Linked DNA regions of Macaca mulatta. The protein of the gene in region 1 purifies or fractionates together with the protein of each later gene. This does not show direct contact. Links are inferred from orthologs where the notes say so. Each region holds a gene or a part of one and is shown in the gene's direction. Other genes may lie near its edges.

Evidence for each region. Proteins that work in one complex are often made in the same cells at the same time.
Region 2: the proteins of CHAMP1 (region 1) and CBX1 purify together in Homo sapiens (affinity purification with mass spectrometry; 6 studies listed by BioGRID and IntAct, with this or other methods). This does not show direct contact. The link is inferred for Macaca mulatta from reciprocal best matches to the Homo sapiens genes CHAMP1 and CBX1.

The regions. Positions count from the first base shown.
Region 1 is NC_133422.1:108,394,842-108,399,855, forward strand, and holds the start of CHAMP1 (chromosome alignment-maintaining phosphoprotein 1), read left to right. Parts: upstream 1-1,776; 5' UTR 1,777-1,875; intron 1,876-5,014. UniProt on the Homo sapiens protein: Required for proper alignment of chromosomes at metaphase and their accurate segregation during mitosis. Involved in the maintenance of spindle microtubules attachment to the kinetochore during sister chromatid biorientation.
Region 2 is NC_133421.1:61,908,957-61,914,205, forward strand, and holds the start of CBX1 (chromobox protein homolog 1), read left to right. Parts: upstream 1-2,124; 5' UTR 2,125-2,199; coding exon 2,200-2,206; intron 2,207-3,336; coding exon 3,337-3,454; intron 3,455-5,249. UniProt on the Homo sapiens protein: Component of heterochromatin. Recognizes and binds histone H3 tails methylated at 'Lys-9', leading to epigenetic repression. Interaction with lamin B receptor (LBR) can contribute to the association of the heterochromatin with the inner nuclear membrane.

The DNA.
Region 1 (5,014 bases):
TAGATAGTAGCTTAGGTTTTCCTCTAGTTTTAAAATCCTGTGAGTCAAAGATTGAGAGAACGTTAGGATTGAACAGAGCACATGGTGTGTGCCAGGGATGTGCAGCGGTTCCAGAGGTGAATAAATGGATAGTCCCTCCTCTCCAGGAGCTGGCAACCTGTTGTTGGTATCAGGCTGTAGTGCCAGAGGGTGACATATACAGCTGGGGCTTCTAGGAAGATTGGGAGGGAGTGGAAAATTGGCCAGTGCAGTTGACGCATGAATAACAGAGGTTTGAACTTCAACCAAATGCCAATAAAAAAAGACAGCATTTACAGAATGTGAAACATTTATATGGAGGGCAGATTTTTCATATATGGGAATTCCACAAGGCTGACTGTAGGACCTGAGTATGTGTGGATTTTGGCATATGGGAGTGGTCCTGGAACCAATCCCGTGTTTACAGGGAGACAGCTGACTTAAAAAGCCGTCCTGCCTGAAGGCCAGGCAAGACAGGGAGTGTAAAGGAGAGGAAATAGTTTATACAAAAACCCAGATGCTGGAATAGTCAGGGAATTACATGTGGGCCAGTATTTTGAGAACGCAGTCTGGTCATGGGCCAGACTGTGAAGAGCTTTATATGCTGTATTCAAATCGTGTAGTGTAGGTGTCTTAGTTGCCTTGGAGGAAATGTGAACAGGCAGGTCACATTAGGCTTCTGTTTGGAAGACAGGTTTGGTAGCTGGAAGAAAGGGAGACTAGTGGCAGGAAGTTAAGATGTCAGAATTAAAGCAGTGACGGGGTAGGGGATAGAGAAGGGGTAGATGAATGTGCTGGAGCTAATGAGAAGCACAGTGTGCGCTGTTGTGTAGCTTGTGCACAGCCAGTTTATCACATTCTGTTCTTGTCAGCAGACTCATCTACACCATGATGCTTTATCTTTGAAATGCATGCGGGAAGAGAAGAGGGCAGAGCAATCACTGAAGGAGGTCCATGTGTTCTTCCTTGGGGTCAGGACACCGCCATCCTCCTCCCAGAGTCCTTTCTTTTTGTACCTCTTGGTCCTGTTTGTTGTGGTGTCCCTTCCTCCACTGCCTGTTAATTTGTCACTCTGCTGTGTAATATTGATAACTGACAAAAGTCAGCCATTGTTAGCATCAGTAGTCACACCAGCAGTCTTCTGAGTGCTTATCAGAGAAGTGAAGTTAGGTGGTTGGTTTGAGAAGGATATGATTACACACATGGGCATAATTCCATAGTGGATTACTAAAGAGAAAGTAGACAAAGATGGTGTCAGGAGTGGTATCTACTGTAGTCTTTGGTGTCATTTCATAAAAGTAAGTGTTCAGGCCTGTACAGTGGCTCACGCCTGTAATCCCAGCGCTTTGGGAGGCCGAGGCGGGTGGATCACGAGGTCAGGAGATTGAGACCATCCTGGCTAACACGGTGAAACCTCGTCTCTAATAAAGATACAAAAAAATTTGCTGGGTGTGGTGGCGGGCACAGTCCCATCTGCTCGGGAGGCTGAGGCAGGAGAATGGCGTGAACCCGGGAGGCGGAGCTTGCAGTGAGCCGAGATCATGCCACTGCACTCCAGCCTGGGCTGGACGGAGCGAGACTCTGTCTCAAAAAAAAAAAAAGTAAGTGTTCAGGCTTAGTGGATTGGACTCCTCTCACTGTTAGGGCAGGATGGTGAGCGAAATACACAGAATTCTATCACAGGGGACACACATGATCACAGATACAGTTTTGATCACTTTTTTTTTTTTTCCAGGTTCAACTTCTCGTCTTGTTGTTCTTCTTATACTATAGGCTGTTTGCTCTGGTTTAGTCAAAAAGCCATGTAGAATGCCTGCCTTTTGAAGACCAATTTTAAGGTGTCTAGTAATACAGCAGGTAAGTCTAGTAGGGAAAGCATGCTTAGGAGAATATTTTATGAGGAGAAAATTAAAAAAAAAATACTTGGAGTTCTTGAAGGAAATCTCTAAAAGTATACACGCCCTTATGGATATAACGTGTGATGTGCGCTAGATATACATAATTTGGGATATGAGAAGTGAATTCTGTAGCATTCTTTTTAGGTTTAAGTATGAGATTGGCCTGAAGAGCTGATGGTAGGCAGCGGGAAGAGGAGGGCTGGCTGGGAGGGATGGGGAATGGTAGGTGAGTCTGACTCAAACCCAGCACACCTGAGCTCTTAGTCTCTGTTGTAATTACAGTATGTAATATAGTGCTCTTTAATGTTAGCTTGGCTGTTCATTATTGCCAGTTATAGCTGCATGGGATTATTGAGACTTATTCTCCGGTTTCCCTTAAAGTCTTCTAGTTTTATTTAACAATGGGCTCTGAGACGGATGGTTAACCCATTATTTCTGCATGTATTCAATTACGTTTGTAAGTTAAAGATCATTTTTAGAGATTTTTCTTCAGTACTGAATTATTTATTTTTCTTTTGTTACAGTCCTAGTCCTAAAAACAATATTCTAAAATACAGAATAACTGCTGGCAACGCAGAAAGAGTAAATAGTTTCCAAAGAAAAGTATTTATTTCCTCAAATACCTGTTACCTTTTTAGCTTTAGACCAAAAAATAAAAAAGGCAAATGATATACCATGGATAAAAGTGTTAGGAAACAGTATTGTCGTTGAGAACATCTTTAAAAACAAGTTATCAAAGTTAGAAATATTATACTTTTTTTTTTTTTTTGAGACGCAGTCTCGCTCTGTCACCAGGCGGGAGTGCAGTGGCACAATCTCAGTTCACTGCAACCTCCAACTCCCTGGTTCAAGCGATTCTCCTGCCTCAGCCTCCCAAGTAGCTGGGACTACAGGCACACACCACCATGCCTGGCTAATTTTTGTATTTTTAGTAGAGACTAAATACATGTTGGCCACGATGGTGTGTCCCACCTATGAGTGAGAACATGCGGTGTTTGGTTTTCTGTTCTTGCGATAGTTTGCTGAGAGTGATGGTTTCCAGCATCCATGTCCCTACAAAGGACACTAAACACCATGTTGGCCACGATGGTCTTGATCTCCTGACCTTGTAATCCACCCACCCGGCCTCCCAAGTGCTGAGATTACAGGCGTGAGTCACTGCGCCCGGCCTATACATTTTTTTTTTTTTTTTTGAGACGGAGTCTCGCTGTGTCTCCCAGGCTGGAGTGCAGTGGCGTGATCTCGGCTCACTGCAAGCTCCGCCTCCCGGGTTCACGCCATTCTCCCGCCTCAGCCTCCCAAGTAGCTGAGACTACAGGCGCCCGCCACCACGCCCGGCTAGTTTTTTGTATTTTTAGTAGAGACGGGGTTTCACCATGTTAGCCAGGATAGTCTCGATCTCCTGACCTCGTGATCCCCCCGCCTCGGCCTCCCAAAGTGCTGGGATTACAGGCTTGAGCCACCGCGCCCGGCCTACATTTTTTTAAATTAATGGTTTTGTAATTAATAAAGGGAGAGCCAGAGTTTCTAATCTGTACCATTCTTTAAGATGCAGTAAATATCATTACCATCAATAAGGGAAAAGTGTTCAGTCTTTCTCATTAAGAGAAGCACATTAACACAGTAGTGAAATACTGGCTTTCACCTAGGTTGTAGCAAGGATTAGGAATTTATATGAAATTGTCTTTCATATATACACTGTTGTTTTGCAGTAATGTAAGTTTTCGAGAGTTTGGTAAAATGTATCAATTTTAAACACAAATGGCTAAGTAATCCATTTCTAGGAATTTTCCCTGCAGAAATAACCTTACATGCAAAGATAAGTACAAGGAAAGTCAGTGCTTACTCCATATGTAAAAATGTCTTAAAGAGATGAATTCTAAATGAGAGTAAGTTGCCAGATAATATGTTTAATATCCCATTTGTGTAAAGCATGTGTGTTAATCAATATATGCCTAGGACATTTCTTCCAGGACACATGAGTACACTGGCTACCCCTGCAGACTGACACTCCGTATCTTGTACTGTGTGAATGTGTTTTGTTTTTTTTTTATATTTTAAGTTCTAGGGTACGTGTGCACAACGTGCAGGTTTGTTACATATATATACATGTGCCATGTTGGTGTGCTGCACCCATTAACTCGTCATTTACATTAGGTATATCTCCTAATGCTATCCCTCCCCCTTCTCCCCTCCTCCCCCCCCACAATAGGCCCCGGTGTGTGATGTTCCCCTTCCTGTGTCCAAGTGATCTCATTGTTCAATTCCCACCTATGAGTGAGAACATGCGGTGTTTGGTTTTCTGTTCTTGCGATAGTTTGCTGAGAGTGATGGTTTCCAGCATCCATGTCCCTACAAAGGACACGAACTCATCCTTTTTTATGGCTGCATAGTATTCCATGGTGTATGTGTGCCACATTTTCTTAATCCAGTCTGTCACTGACGGACATTTGGGTTGATTCCAAGTCTTTGCTATTGTGAATAGTGCTGCAGTAAACATACGTGTGCATGTGTCTTTATAGCAGCATGATTTATAATCCTTTGGGCATATACCCAGTAATGGGATGGCTATGTCAAATGGTATTTCTAGTTCTAGATCCTTGAGGAATTGCCACACTGTTTTCCAGTGGTTGAACTAGTTTACAGTCCCATCAACAGTGTAAAAGTGTTCCTATTTCTCCACATCCTCTCCAGCACCTGTTGTTTCCTGACTTTTTAATGATTGCCATTCTAACTGGTGTGAGATGGTACCTCATTGTGGTTTGGATTTGCATTTCTCTGATGGCGAGTGAGGAGCATTTTTTCATGTGTCTGTTGGCTGTATGAATGTCTTCTTTTGAGAAGTGTCTTTTCATGTCCTTTGCCCACTTTTTGATGGGGTTGTTTGTTTTTTTCTTGTAAATTTGTTTGAGTTCTTTGTAGGTTCTGGATATTAGCCCTTTGTCAGATGAGTAGATTGCAAAAATTTTCTCCCATTCTGTAGGTTGCCTGTTCACTGTTATGGTAGTTTCTTTTGCTGTGCAGAAGCTCTTTAGTTTAATTAGATCCCATTTGTCAATTTTGGCTTTTGTTGCCGTTGCGTTTGGCATTTTAGACAT
Region 2 (5,249 bases), on another chromosome or scaffold:
CTCCAGCCCAGGTGACAGTGCGAGACTCCATTGTCAAAAAAAAAAAACCCTCCAGATGGGCCAGGTACGGCGGCTCATGTCTGTAATTCCAGCACTTTGCGAGGCCCAGGCAGGCGGATCACGAGGTCAAGAGATCAAGACCATCCTGGCCAACATGGTGAAACCCCGTCTCTACTAAAAATACAAAAATTAGCTGCGCGTGGTAGCGCGTGCCTGTAGTCCCAGCTACTTGGGAGACTGAGGCAGGAGAATCAGTTGAACCCAGGAGGTGGAGGCTGCAGTGAGCAGAGATCGCACCACTGCACTCCAGCCTGGCAACAGAGTGAGACTCTGTCTCAAAAAAAAAAAAGGAAGAAAGTTGCAGTTGTAACTGTCCTTAAAAACACTGGGCCGGCGCAGTGGCTCCTGCCTGTAATCCAGCACTTTGGGAAACTGAGGCGGGCAGAACACTTGAGGCCAGGAGTTCGAGAACAGCCTGGCCAACACGGCAAAAACTCCGTCTCTACTAAAAATACAAAAATTAGCTGGGCATGGTGGCACGGGCCTGTACTCCCAGCTACTCGGGAGACTGAGGCATGAGAATCGCTTGAACCCAGGAGGCAGAGGCTGCAGTCAGCCAAGATCACACCACTGCACTCCAGCCTGGGCGACAGAGCGAGACCCTATCTCAAAAACAAACAAACAAACACTGGAACAAATACAAAAACCTAGACACCAAGTAGTAATTTCTAGCAACCACTATTCTTCATTAGATTCCTCCCCACAGATACCACTCCTCAAAAGAAAAAGCTCAGTTCTGCCTCTGGAGAAGAAGCAGAAAGTTCCTAACTTTAGTTCTATAATCTGGGAGATGGATCTGTACGTCATCCAAATAAGGCTAGAGTCAGTGACCATAGCTAATTACATAACTCGGTGTTAACTACATTTCCTGGGCCCTTTCAACCACATCTGAAGTTTCCTTCACTTTCTTCACCTGTACCAGCACCAGTAGCGCTGGTGAGTACCCAATTGTTTGCTGTTTACAAAGTAGATTCATCGTAAAGCTTCTAATATAGTAACAATACAAGGCTTTAGTCTCACCATTTATTTTCTCTCCCATTTAAACAACTTCAAGAGACAGGTTAAGAAAAAAATCAGGTGATTAAAGTAGATGGAACTACTGAGACTACCGTCCCTTCTTACTCAATCTTGAGCCCTTAGTGCCAGATGGCAGATAGCAATTCAAAAAGCTCTCCCTCCAATTATAAATATCACACGTACTAGATAGAGGAAGCTCCCAGTTCTGACCAAGCTTTGTGTGATCTCAACCAAGCAGTTATGCTCCATCTTTTTGTCCATCTCTAACCTACTCCTTTCACTTGGAAGGTAATTAACAACGGCGACCACAATCTACCGCAAGTCTCCCGTGTCCACGTAAAATACTCGCCATTGCCCCCAGTCTTAGCCGTTTAAGTAAATGTCCCCAGTCTTTTACTACGATCACTCCTCCTCCATTCGCAACAAACTAGGACCGAAAGGTCCACATGATCCTTCTTCCTTTCCGATTAAGCCGGGGGAGTAGGAAGTGAAAGATATACTTTGAAGGTAAACTGAAAAGTCGGTTTTTGGATCCCCAGCAAGCCCTTGCCTTAATGCCGGGTGGTAAGAGAGTCCCTCCCTAGGATGTAAAGCGATGCCACCATCCCGAGTGCCACTACTGACGCTCAAGCCTACGCCCCCTCACCTGAGCGCAGCCCCTACTCCCCGAGGCCCCGCCCACGCACTCTCACCTGAGAACAGCACCAGCTCCCCACAGCGACACCGCCCGCGCCCCACCATATAGCCAGATCACGGCTTCTCCTTCCGGGTGAGTCGCCGGTGCCCCAGTGCACGACGGGAGACGCCCTAACCCCGGCTGCCCAGGACGCCCCGCCTTTACAGGCCCGGGCTCTGAGTGGGATTCCCGCTTCCGAACGGCGCAGTTCCGCTTGCCAAGGCCCGGGACTGGAGTCGGGATCCCCCCTCCACTCACTTGGGACGCTAGAGAGTGGACGCAGGTGCGGGGTGAGGGACGGCGAATGGGCTCGGATATCCAATCCGGGGCCGCTTTCCGCCCACTGTCAGGGGAAGCCAATCAGCGGCCAGGGGGCGTCCGCAACGGTCAGCCAGTGGGTCGCGAGAGCAGAGGGGTGTGAGGGGATTGTTACTCTTGTTCCCTTAATGCGAGGTACGGTCTGCAGTGTGGGAGGTTCGGGGCTTTAGGAAGCCCACATCCCTGGATCCTCACTAAGTCTCGAGAGTCACCATTGGAACCTCGTAGTTTGTTGTTCCCCAGCGGAGCTATCAAGGGGACTCCGATTCCGATTCGTAAAGCCACTGACCGATTGTCAGAGTGAAAGCCAGACTCGAGAGGGTCCGGCGACTCAGATGGCTCACACCAAAACAAACTGGAAGCAGCATCATGCAGCTAGGGAGCAAGAGAAAACCGTTCAATGTGTTGAAGACTTTTGCGATGGTCTTTTAACAACTTATTTAAAGATAATTTCAGCAAGTCTAGCGCGGTGGCTCACGCCTGTAATCCCAACACTTATTAGAGAGGCCGAGGCGGGAGGATCGTTTGAGGCTAGTCTTGAGACACGCCCTACCAAAATTTAGGGAGACTCTCGTCTCTGCAAAAAAAAAATTTAAAAATTAGCCAGGCGTGGTGGCATGTGCCTGTAGTCCCAGCTACTAGGGAGGCTGAGGCAGGAGGAAGTCTTGAACCAGGGGTTCGACGCCGCAGGGAGCCCTGATCTCTGCAGAGCAAGACCCTGTCTGAAAAAAAGAAAAACAGCTAAAAGGAAGAAAAGAAAGGGGCCGAGCACGGTGTCTCACGCCTGTAATTCCACCGCTTTGGGAGCTGGAGGCGGGTGGATTACCTGAGGTCAGGAGTTCGAGACCAGCCTGGCCAACACGGTGAAACCCTGTCTCTACTAAAACTACAAAAATTAGTTGGGCATAGTCATGGGCACCTGTAATCCCAGCTATTCAGGAGACTGACGCAGGGGGATTGCTTGAACCCAGGAGTCGGAGGTTGCAGTGAGCCAAGATTGCGCCATTACACTCCAGCCTGGGAGACTCCATTGTAAAAAAATAAAAATAAAAATAAATTAAGGAAGATAGCTGGATTCTCATATGTGCTTCCCCTTTCTCTGTTGTGCTCTGTTGTTTTGGTACATTAAGAAAATTCAGCCTTAAATAGATATGTAGTTGAGAAAAGGAAGAGTATATTTAGCCTTCTCAAACAATTTTGAATATTCTTCTTTGATACTACCCAAATTCAACAAATGGTAACTTTTCTTTGTTTTTTTGAGACAGGTTCCTGCTCTGTTGCCCAGGCTGGAGTGCAGTGGCAGGATCACAGCTTACTGCAGGCTCAACCTCCAGGGCTCAAGTCATCCTCCCACCTCAGCCGTTGGAGCTGCTGGGACCACAGGTGTGTGCCACCATACTCGGTTAATTTTTTTAATTTTTATACAGATAGAGGCTCCCTATGTTGCCGAGACTGGAAGTGTTTATTTATTTATTTATTTATTTTTTAAGTACACACCACCTTGGAGATGGAGTCATTTCTTAAAGGTTAAGTGGGCCGGGCGCAGTGGCTCACGCCTGTAATCCCAGCACTTTGGGAGGCCGAGACGGGCGGATCACGAGGTCAGGAGATCGAGACCATCCTGGCTAACACGGTGAAACCCCGTCTCTACTAAAAATACAAAATTTTTGTATTTTTACAAAATTTTTAAAAATACAAAATTTTTGTATTTTTGTATTAGTCTCTACTAAAAATACAAAAAACTAGCTGGGCGAGGTGGCGGGCGCCTGTAGTCCCAGCTACTTGGGAGGCTGAGGCAGGAGAATGGCGGGAACCCGGGAGGCGGAGCTTGCAGTGAGCTGAGATCAGGCCACTCACTCCAGCCTGGGCTACCGAGCGAGACTCCGTCTCAAAAAAAAAAAAAGGTTAAGTGCAGGCCAGGCGTGGTGGCTCACACCTATAATCCCAGCACTTTGGGAGGCCGAGGCGGGTGGATCACAAGGTCAGGAGATCGAGACCATCCTGGCTAACACGGTGAAACCCTGTCTCTACTAAAAATACAAAAAATTAGCCGGGCGTGGTGGCGGGCGCCTGTAGTCCCAGCTACTCGGGAGGCTGAGGCAGGAGAGGCAGGAGAATAGCGTGAACCCAGGAGGTGGAGCTTGCAGTGAGCCGAGATCACGCCACTGCACTCCAGTCTGGGAGACACTGCGAGACTCCATCTCAAAAAAAAAAAAAAAAAAGGTTAAGTGCAATAGGGAGTCTGAAGCCATTTAAAAAATACTGGTACAGAATTATGCAGATCAGTCAATGTTAATGCATTTATTCAATGTAAAAAAAATCACATTTATTAAATTCATCACTGATCTCATCAGGAAAGTCTCAAGAAACTGCATACTGACTAGCTGGGATTACAGGCACGTGCCACCATGCCCGGCTAATTTTTGTATTTTTAGTAGAGACGGGGTTTGACCATATTGGTCAGGCTGGTCTTGAACTCCTGACCTCATGATCCACCCGCCTCGGCTTCCCAAAGTGCTGGGATTACAGGTGTGAGCCACCATGCCTGGCCTCACATGTCTTAATATTAAGACAGCCTCGACCTCCTGGGCTCAAGTGATCCTCCTATTCAAGCCTCCTAAGTAGCTGGGACCATAGGTGTATGCCACCATGCCCGGCTAATTTTTTATTATTATTTGTATAGATGAGGTCTCACTATGTTGCCCGGCCTGGTCTTGAACTCCTGAGCTCAAGCAGTTCTCCTACCTCGTCCTTCCAAAATGCTGGAATTACAGGGGTGAGCCACTGTGCCCATTTTTCTTTTCATTTCTTTTTATTTTTTATTTTTTGATTTTTTGAGATGGAGTTTTGCTTTCGCTCTCATCTCCTAGGCTGGAGTGCAATGGTACGATCTTAGCCCACTGCAACCTCTGCCTCTTGGGTTCAAGCAATTCTCCTGCCTCAGCCTCCCGAGTAGCTGGGATTACAGGCATGCGCCACCATGCCCAGCTAATTTTTTTGTTTATTGGAGGCAGAGTCTCGTTCTTCGCCCAGGCTGGAGTAAAGTGGTGCAATCTCGGCTCACTGCAACCTCCTTCCCCTGGGTTTCAAGCAATTCTCCTGTCACAGTCTCCTGAGTAGGTGGAATTACAGGCGCCCGCCACTACGCCTGGCTAATTTTTGTATCTTTAATAGAGAC